3 linked regions of the Drosophila melanogaster genome follow. The protein of the gene in region 1 interacts with the protein of each later gene in a pairwise test. Each region holds a gene or a part of one and is shown in the gene's direction. Other genes may lie near its edges.

What was found.
Region 2: the proteins of CG6610 (region 1) and SmF interact in a two-hybrid assay, tested with the Drosophila melanogaster proteins (one large-scale study listed by BioGRID).
Region 3: the proteins of CG6610 (region 1) and CG9344 interact in a two-hybrid assay, tested with the Drosophila melanogaster proteins (one large-scale study listed by BioGRID).

What each region holds. Positions count from the first base shown.
Region 1 is NT_037436.4:6,073,904-6,076,835, forward strand, and holds CG6610 (uncharacterized protein), read left to right. Parts: upstream 1-1,632; 5' UTR 1,633-1,736; coding exon 1,737-1,785; intron 1,786-1,857; coding exon 1,858-2,054; intron 2,055-2,119; coding exon 2,120-2,149; 3' UTR 2,150-2,355; downstream 2,356-2,932. Other genes in the region: CG13295 (uncharacterized protein), read right to left, coding at 1-586, 645-1,069, 1,130-1,214.
Region 2 is NT_033778.4:12,183,332-12,186,461, reverse strand, and holds SmF (small ribonucleoprotein particle protein SmF), read left to right. Parts: upstream 1-2,151; 5' UTR 2,152-2,272; coding exon 2,273-2,539; 3' UTR 2,540-2,618; downstream 2,619-3,130. Other genes in the region: Cyp6g1 (cytochrome P450 6g1), read right to left, coding at 1-24. UniProt on the Drosophila melanogaster protein: Plays a role in pre-mRNA splicing as a core component of the spliceosomal U1, U2, U4 and U5 small nuclear ribonucleoproteins (snRNPs), the building blocks of the spliceosome.
Region 3 is NT_033778.4:20,975,111-20,978,153, forward strand, and holds CG9344 (uncharacterized protein), read left to right. Parts: upstream 1-1,945; 5' UTR 1,946-2,044; coding exon 2,045-2,135; intron 2,136-2,206; coding exon 2,207-2,355; 3' UTR 2,356-2,490; downstream 2,491-3,043. Other genes in the region: CG34115 (uncharacterized protein), read left to right, coding at 484-513, 1,485-1,570, 1,629-1,746; CG15650 (uncharacterized protein), read right to left, coding at 2,618-3,016.

The sequences.
Region 1 (2,932 bases):
ATTCCACCACTATGGTAAACTCTTTCAGCGTTTTCGGCCATTCCGGCGGATATTTTTGTTTGCCCAGGTAATCGCTGAGCGAAGTGGTGACCTTCATGAGGTAGCTTGCATAGCCACTTGCCTGTTGTTTGGGCATAAACTTGCGACGACCTATCTGGATGTTCAGTAGAACCTGAGACAGTGTTCGTTCATACACGGGCACCACCTTTAAATAGGCATCGTGGTGCGGAATGTTCTTGATGAAGTCAATCCATGTGCTGAGAACATCACCAGTAAAAAGCATCACATGGCCTTCTAAACTGATGCCCGTAAAGGGAGCAAAAACCACTATGCGACCTTTCAGGGAAGCCATTTCCAACAAATGGGTGTTGGATAGTCGCTCAAGGGTCTTTAAACAGCCACGGTAGTGCTCAATGTTCCAGCCGCACTCGTAACGAGCATCTTGCAACTCCAGTTTCTCTACCAGCATTTTTTTCAGTTTGTCGATTTCGGCCTGCAGATCCGCAGTTTCCTTAGAGCGCTGTTTGGCTGTGCCAGCATTCTCTTCCAGCCAGGTGGTCAGCACTGGACGCTTACTGGCACGTTCCTGGGTTAAGGAAATAAGTATATAAATGGTTTTTTAAATTTCAAAATTATATACCAACATTCTTCAACTGAGTTTCAAACTCGGCGAACTCCATGTCATAGTGATAGTCATGGCTTGGTTTAAAATCCAAGCCAGAGGTTTTTGGCGGCTCAGGCTGGGCCTTAATGTTCTTCACATACTCCGTGGACAAGTTGCATGACTCCAGAAGACCTTGAATAAAGGTTTTGGGATCTCGGGTACTCTGCCAGTCCGTGCGTATTTGGATGAGCTTGAAGGAGTCTCGCTTGTCAGCATCTGAACTGGTGCGTACATAGAACTTGAGCACTTGGGTGTCCCCGCTTCGCTGTCTGCGTTCATACAAAGCCTCTAGATGCTCACTCAGCAATTTCAGTGAGTTCTCGTTGGTGTTCCTCTGCTCCGGATGCTGGGCAAAGAAGTCAGGATGCACCGCGAAGTAGAAGGGTCTCAGCGCCGTTGTCAGATCTGCAAAAGCGCCCAATCACATGATCATCCAAAAGTTGTGGCGCATTCAAATCAACTGACCTTGGTTCAGCGATCGGCGCAAAAGCAGGAAGTGCCGTCTGCTGGTGACCAATTTCCGGATCTTGGAGCCCAACGACATGGACATTATGTAAGCAGTGGGCGGCAGCACAACACTGCACCGCGTCACAGATGGCCAACATACGGGAGCACTGCCGCGAGATTAAGATTTTGGATATATAACTCCTGATCTTGAATTATGAGGTAAAATTGGTAGGACCGCGGCACTGAATGCCAAATATCCATTACTATCTGGGTAATAGTGGTGGCTGTTTGGGTGGGTGTTTTGAGGTCCCTCATGTTGACAAATTGTTCTTTAAATTCTTGCGATAAAATAGTTAATCTTGATAAGTTTGTCATAAAAAAGTTTTAATGAGTTTGTAATTAATAAATTAATTAGTTTTCAACGAAAACAAATGTTTTAATTAATTTTAAACGTTTAGCTATATTCACGCTAACTCTATCCACAAGATTTTGCAGCACTGACGCTGACACTTTTGATGTGGCCAGTTTTTGCGCAGAATTCCGCATTGTTTACCTCGCTGCTAAAAAGTTTTTAGCGCAATTCCAATTATTATTGTTAATAATAGTAAACAAATCATACGACAACATGACTGCCGTTCCACCCCCCTCCAACATCTCTACCCTAATGCCATTGGGTACGTAAATCTGCTACAGGTCTACAAATCGAGAGTTTCTAACTTTTGCCGGCTTCCCGTACTACCCTACAGAATTGGTGGACAAATGCATCGGTTCCCGCATCCACATTATCATGAAGAACGACAAGGAGATGGTGGGAACTCTCTTAGGATTCGATGACTTTGTGAATATGCTCTTGGACGACGTAACGGAGTATGAAAATACCCCCGACGGCCGCCGCATCACCAAACTGGATCAGATTCTGCTCAACGGGAACAATATCACAATGGTGGGTGCTCTTTTTCGAAGTTACATACGTTTGTTTATTAAATTTCATTTATAATTTGATTTCAGTTGGTGCCTGGCGGAGAGCTGGCGGAGTAGCAAGGTTCCATTTGTAAACATAAATACATTTGTAAAATATCAAAACGGTCGTTTTAATGTGGATAATATTGTGTCGTATGTAAATGTTCGAGGTATGTTAGAAGTTAGCAGTGGTCAAGTGATTAACAGCAATGTTAACAGATTTTTGGTCCTAACAGATACGAATTTGAAAACGCTTGGCTTAGGAAATGAAAATTATTTGCCCTCTAATCTCAGAATAAAACACTATATAATATTACCTAATATACAAAACATTGTTAAATTATCAATTGGAATAGAATTAATTTTACATAAATAAGCATATTTTATGCTTATAGGGACCGGATACACTTGAAATGGAATACCGAAAAAGGTCGACCGCTAATAATTCTGTAAAATGACTTCCAAGCTTCAAAAATTCAAACTTCACATTAAATATTTAGTGTCTTTCCGTTAACATTCAACCGCTACTTGTGCTCTGGCTGCCATGCAAAGTAGGCGCATGCGCTCCATCCCCAAAATGTTGGGTCTCAGCGATACAGCAGTCAACATGTGCCATAAATATTAACCGCTTTTCCCTTCTGGCCGTGCGTGTGGGTGCAGTGCACTCTCCGCAGTACCGCTCTGCTCTGCGTGCGTTCTCCCGCTTCCGTTCGGCACCTCCAGCGTTCAGTACGGCAGCAGGCTTCGACGGAAGTGGAACAAACCAAGCGGAAACAGACTCACGCGACAACAAAACCGAACCGAACTCGAATATGGAAAACTTTTACCCAGAACCGATATAGCACTGATAAACGCAACTCG
Region 2 (3,130 bases), on another chromosome or scaffold:
AAAGAGGACCTCGGTCAACACCATTTTGGGGATGTCGATGTAATGGGTATCGCCACTCTGAAATTAATCGCTAAAACAATTAATCAAATGCCAGTGCCCTCAGCATTATCTTATCTCGATCGCATTTGAAACGGTCGATGGTTTCAAATGCAATCTAGAGTGTTTTGCTACCCATGTTTACCTAGATTTTATTAAATCAGCCGTCTTAATTATTTTTAGCTGGCATTATCTTTTCCATTCCAACGCGAATTACAATTAGTTATGATAGGGAGCATTACAATGAGTGTTTATGATACGCTTATAGTAATTCCCGCCATATCTACACCCAATTAAGCTGCTTGTAAAGCTAAATAGAAAATCTTTTCGGGCAGCAAATATGACACTAAAAATTTGCCAGCAAGGATTTCGTCCTAAGCTTTATTAATTATACATGAGACTACTATTTCTATAGAGCAAATGTCCAAAATATATTTCTTAGAAACCAGTTCTCTATTTATTTTAGTAACAGTAACAGTAACCAAGTAATCTTAATTTTCACAGTTGCCCTCAATTCCATATTAAGTGTGGTTTTTTCAAGGATATCACACTTTTTCAAATTAAAATATACAATTTTGTATACCGAATTTCATAACTTACTTTGAAAATATACAGGTTTTTTTAGTCACACAATTTATTTGCAACTGGCCTAATTCGCAACAAGTTTGTCCAGCAATTTCAAGGAAACTTTTATTGGATCTATAAATTCTGAGCACCCGCGTACACAACCGACAATTAAAGCTCTACGCACCGCACTTGGGGCGATTTGAAATGTTGTTTGCGTTTTTATACTCGAAAGTCTCAAAAGTTCTGAGATAGCAATTTCAAGTGCATACTTATAAATTCACCTGTGTGGTGGAAAAAGCTTTAAAATACGACAAACAAACCACAGCAAATCCAGAGGGACTCTAAGATAATTACAAGTCATGATTACATTTATTATAATGATTCTTAGTTTTAACAACCTTATTTACTTTTTGTGTGCTATGGTTTAGTTAGATTTTTAAAAGCGTTAACGCAATACATATACGATATGAAAAGTATTGCACGCTATAATCTATAAATAATTAAACACAACCGGCTTTCTCGTCAAGCTTTTGATGCATTTGTGAATTTCATTATTGTTGCGTTTGCTGCTTTATAGAAACAATTGCAAAATGCCTGGGCGAAATGACGGGATCAAATAAATCTATCAGATAGCTGCGTTCATAGCCAAGTTCCTTGAGGTAGAGCAGGCGATCCAGGAGAATTAGACTCTCCAGCACCGGAGCAAAGGACATGCGCAGCAGATAGAACAGATCCAAGAAGTATTTATGCACGGCATATTCCTGGAGCAGGGATTGAAGTTCTTCTTTCTCAACAGCTGCCAACCAGGGAGCATCCAATTTGGTGGCACACTTTTGAATGTACTCCTCGAAACTCTCGAATTTCCGTACCTTGCCCACCTGCAGTTCGTTTTTCAGCTCCGGCGCATGGCGGCAAACCAGAATCTCCAAGAGAGCTCGATAGTAGAGCGTTACATTAGGCAGCTCCTTGGTGTCCAAGGTGCGTTCAATTGACTGGGCCGCCAGCATCCGCGCATTGCGACCCATTCGCACTTGTCGCTCCCGCAGGTACTGACTCAATGGGAATCCATAGTCTGTTTGCAGCTCCATCAGGGACTTATTGCCAAAGAACTCCTGCTGCGAATAGCGCTCCCGCAGCAAATGATAGCAGCAGCCAACATTACAAAGCAACCGGCAGTCCGTTTGGGCGTGGAAAACCTGAAGACAGGTGGCGGCCAGGTTGCCACAGGTATGCAATCCAGTAAGGCAAATGTTTGGACTGTCTTCCGGTCTAAACTGAGTGAAATTCTCCGCCAGCAGGGCACCAAAGTTAAGTTCGGTGGTTATAAACTTTGCCGTTGTCTTGTAGTTTTCCAAGGCAGGCGCACTCTTGGTGCTCTCCCTGGCTGGCGACTTTTTACCACGTCTCTTGGGCGTGATTCCCTGGACTTGCAGCTCCGCTCGTTCCGTAAGGCCATTCCAAGCGCGCTGAAATTAAATAAAATTTTAATTTTGGCGCTTTTGAATGGTTTTTCAATACTCTTCTTCTATGCTATTCTTCTTCTTGTTCTGGTATGTTTACACAGCGCAGCTGTGGTCACACTACACAAAAAAAACGCGAAAAGCCGGCGATTTTCGGCACGCTTGTTGTAATATTTTATAAAAAAGGCAGGAAAAATCAAATAAACAGAATGTCGGCTGGTATGCCCATTAACCCCAAGCCCTTCCTGAACGGCCTGACGGGAAAACCGGTGCTGGTGAAGCTGAAGTGGGGCCAGGAGTACAAGGGCTTCCTGGTCTCCGTCGACGGCTACATGAACATGCAGCTGGCGAACACGGAGGAAGTGATCGAGGGCTCCGTGACTGGTAATCTTGGCGAGGTGCTCATCCGCTGCAACAACGTGCTGTATATCAAGGGCATGGAGGACGACGACGAGGAGGGCGAAATGCGCGACTAGCCAATGGATTCACCTACATACACCCACACCTTACTTCTAAGTCTACAAACGTAATGAAATAAAGCTAACTTTATTTTGTAAGCCCGGCCTACCTGCAATTTGCGATTCCTATTCAATGCGTTCTCGGTGTTTGCCGCGTTCGCATCGATGCCGAGCACGCGGTGACCATACTGGAGCGCCAAGCGCGAGGATAAATACCCTTTGCCATCGCCCGCGTCTACAATGAAGCAATCTTGACCGGAGTTCTTCACAAGCTGGTCCACGAGAACGGCTGTTAGATCCACCTAATCGGAGAGATTAATCAATTCCTAAAATACTCTCATTTAAAATGGTTGGTTTACTTACCTCATGGCACTTTTTGGCGCTCATAAACTCCCGAATGCTTAGCTGCGTGGAGTTCCCCTGACCCTCTGAAGCGACAGGCGTTCTTGTTTGCTCTTGCCTAGGAATTCTCGCCATGCCGGAAACCTTTCTGATTCATCAGTTTTCCAAAATAGGTCTTCTATGGCCAGAGCCACATCTTCCTTGCCGGCGATCTCACTTTTCAGCGTTTCGGATAAAAAGCCGTCCCAGTGCTGGTCCGTCAAGTAG
Region 3 (3,043 bases), on another chromosome or scaffold:
TCATTAGATTAAGTAAAGAAGTGAAAACTATCGATTGATGATGTTGTTCTTACTGAAATTGAGAATCTTTGAATCTTGAAATGGTAATATTTAATATTAACTATGCCTATTGATAACTTACCTTCTACATTTGACTAAGTATAGTATCTTGTATCTTCTTATAATCGGAAATTTATTAGTTTAAGTTTGTCATCTTTCAATTTGCAAATTCTTGGTTATAGCACTTCTTTAACTTGCATTTCAAATATCATAAGAGATAGCTAATTAAGTCTTAGCCCAACTTTTTAAGCCAAGCTTGGAAGCTCCCGCTCTCTTCCAAGCTTTTTTCGCGCTCTTTGTGGAGCGCGGCTTTTGGTAGCTCGCCTGGCAATGCAATTCAGTTGCCAAACAAAACGCGATCGGCTAACAACCTCGTACCGCTCGCTCGCAGCTTTAGCTTTACCGTTACACCAGTGATTGAGCACTACAATATCCGAAAAAACCATGGCTAAATTGAGTGCCCTGCTGCTGCCCGTAAGTTTCAGATAGTTAAATTTGGTTTCTAGAGTGTACCTGCCAAATTAACACCTTGTGGGGGGAGCCCACAAGTCCACTGACACAATTTCCGCCTTTTCTGCGCGAAAGTCGCACCCAAAAAGAAAACCGTCTGCATTGCTCGGAAATAGTGACTTGAATTTCCAATGAGCCCGCGTCAGTTCTTCTTTCAAAATCCATTTGTTTTTAGTTTTTTCGTTTCTCCTTTTTGGCGGCCAGACAATTGACACATTTTCGAATCATATGTGGGCCAAATTCGAAGGCTCTCTCTGGCCATGGGAATGGGGAGACCTTGAATGACACGATCTGGCTCTCTTCCGCGCTCTCTTTTGGCCAAATTGAACGCCAAGCGAAATGTGTCATAATCTCCGGGCAACGAGTTGTGGCCAAGTTGCGCATCGTGGCTTTTATTGTTGGTGTAATTGCATAACCGGCGTCAACAAACCGTTGCTTTCAAGTTGACTCAAAAGCCTGAAAGCGATTTCTTGGCCGTCGTCGCACTCGCATTTATTACCACTTTCGTGCAGCTGACACAGTGAGCCATTGAGCATAAATGTGATATCTAACTTCCCCCTAAATCTAGTTTAGCCAATTCAATTAGCTTTCACATAGATGTGGTTTTTTGTTAGAAAACGAATTAAAATCGTACTTTTACTTACAGCACGACCCTGCTTTTAATTGCTGCAATCGTAATAAAATTAGATTGGATATCTAAAATTTTTAAATCATTTGGTTAATAATAATAATTTACTTCTTAACTTCAAATAAATTTACTCAAATAAATTACGATAAGTTTGAATCCTAACATTATGAGAACTATTTCTAATATTAATTTCACGCCAATAGATGGAGCTTAGAAAAATGACAAAAATTGAATTTTTAACTTTACCCAATTGACTTTTTAACAAACCAATATTTAATGTTTATTAACCACTTTCTTTACTTTCCAGCTAATTTTGTTTATTGTGGCCTTTGTGGCGCACACAACTTTTGCTACAGTGCAGCCAAAAGCACCGAACTTCCAGTACTTCGAAAGGTATGCAATTGTCAATTTAAACTATATTAAATTGAATTTATATAACAATATATTTCAGGCCCAAGTACCGTTATCCCTACTACGATGAACACGGGCGCGGAAAACTTCTCTACGGCTACGGCGGACCGGAATTGTACCAATACAAGACCTACACGCCCTTGGAGGGCATTCACTAGTCCTAAATATCGATTAGATGCAATGTAGTCCGTAATTTATGTATTCTATTATTTAAATTAAACTTTCTTTATTACCCCAAAAAGTGTTTTTGAATTCCTCTCAACTTGAACAATAGATGGCGCTCTTGGTGAAGCGAATGCAATGGTCACATCGAAATGTTGTGTTGCAACCTTACCAAACCTGCAGTGTGACCGCAGCATTGCCGGCATAAAATAACAACTGTATTCACATTTGTTATTTATTATTGCTGCCAAAAGGTTTTGTAAACTGCATTTATTTTGAAATCATCTATTGAAAATGTCCCGCAAAGAGGCCCTGTCGCAGTTCATCAATCAGATACACGGACGCCCCGTCGCCGTAAAGCTGAACAACGGCGTTGACTATCGAGGTGCGTTCAATGAGTTCCCAAACACACTCATCACATTTGACAATTTTCCCAATCCACTGACCAAATTCCAGGTGTGCTGGCCTGTCTGGATGGCTACATGAACATCTGCCTGGAGCAGACGGAGGAGTACGTGAATGGGCAGCTGAAGAACAAGTACGGCGACGCCTTCATCCGCGGCAACAATGTCCTCTACATTTCCACGCAGAAGCGGAGGGTCTGAATACAGGAGGGTCTCAACTGGCATGGCACCATGAAGTTCGTAGTTAGAGAACTCTGATTCCTCTGTTTCCTTCAGAGGGAACCTGCGACAACACAAGTGTTTCATACTTCAATATTAAAGCTGAACCAACTTCTCATCATCCTGTATACAAACCAATTCCAGTAGTTCTTGATATACCCCCGATACATTAGACCTCGTTGCTTCGTTTCTTAAGTTTATTCCATAAATACACTATCTAGAGGCGCTAAATTGCAATCCCCACTCAACTGGGATAGTGCGGTGTGCCATACTCGCGGGGAATGGCGCCAAAGTGGCGCAGTTGTGGCACCGAATACCCCGATCCCAGGGCAGCGATTAGGCGCTCTCCGCGATAGCCAAACTTTCGCTCGTAGACCGGACGCCAGGAGCGACCGAAATGCGGATCGAAGGGGATCTCGCTGGGCTGCTGGAACGGAGAGTTGCCGAAGAACAGGCGGTCCAGATAGTCCAGCACCGCCTTCTTCTTCTGAAAATGCACCAGCAGTGGATTGGCGGTGGCGGCGGTGCGCGGATCCTGCGATGCCAGGTTCTTGAAGTACTGGAAGTTCACCAGATCCACATTGGAGAAGTCAAAGACCCCGGGCAGATCGTGCAGCGTGGCTTGGACTCGCACCGAGGAGCACTGTGTTCAGCCAAGGGCAATGTTAAT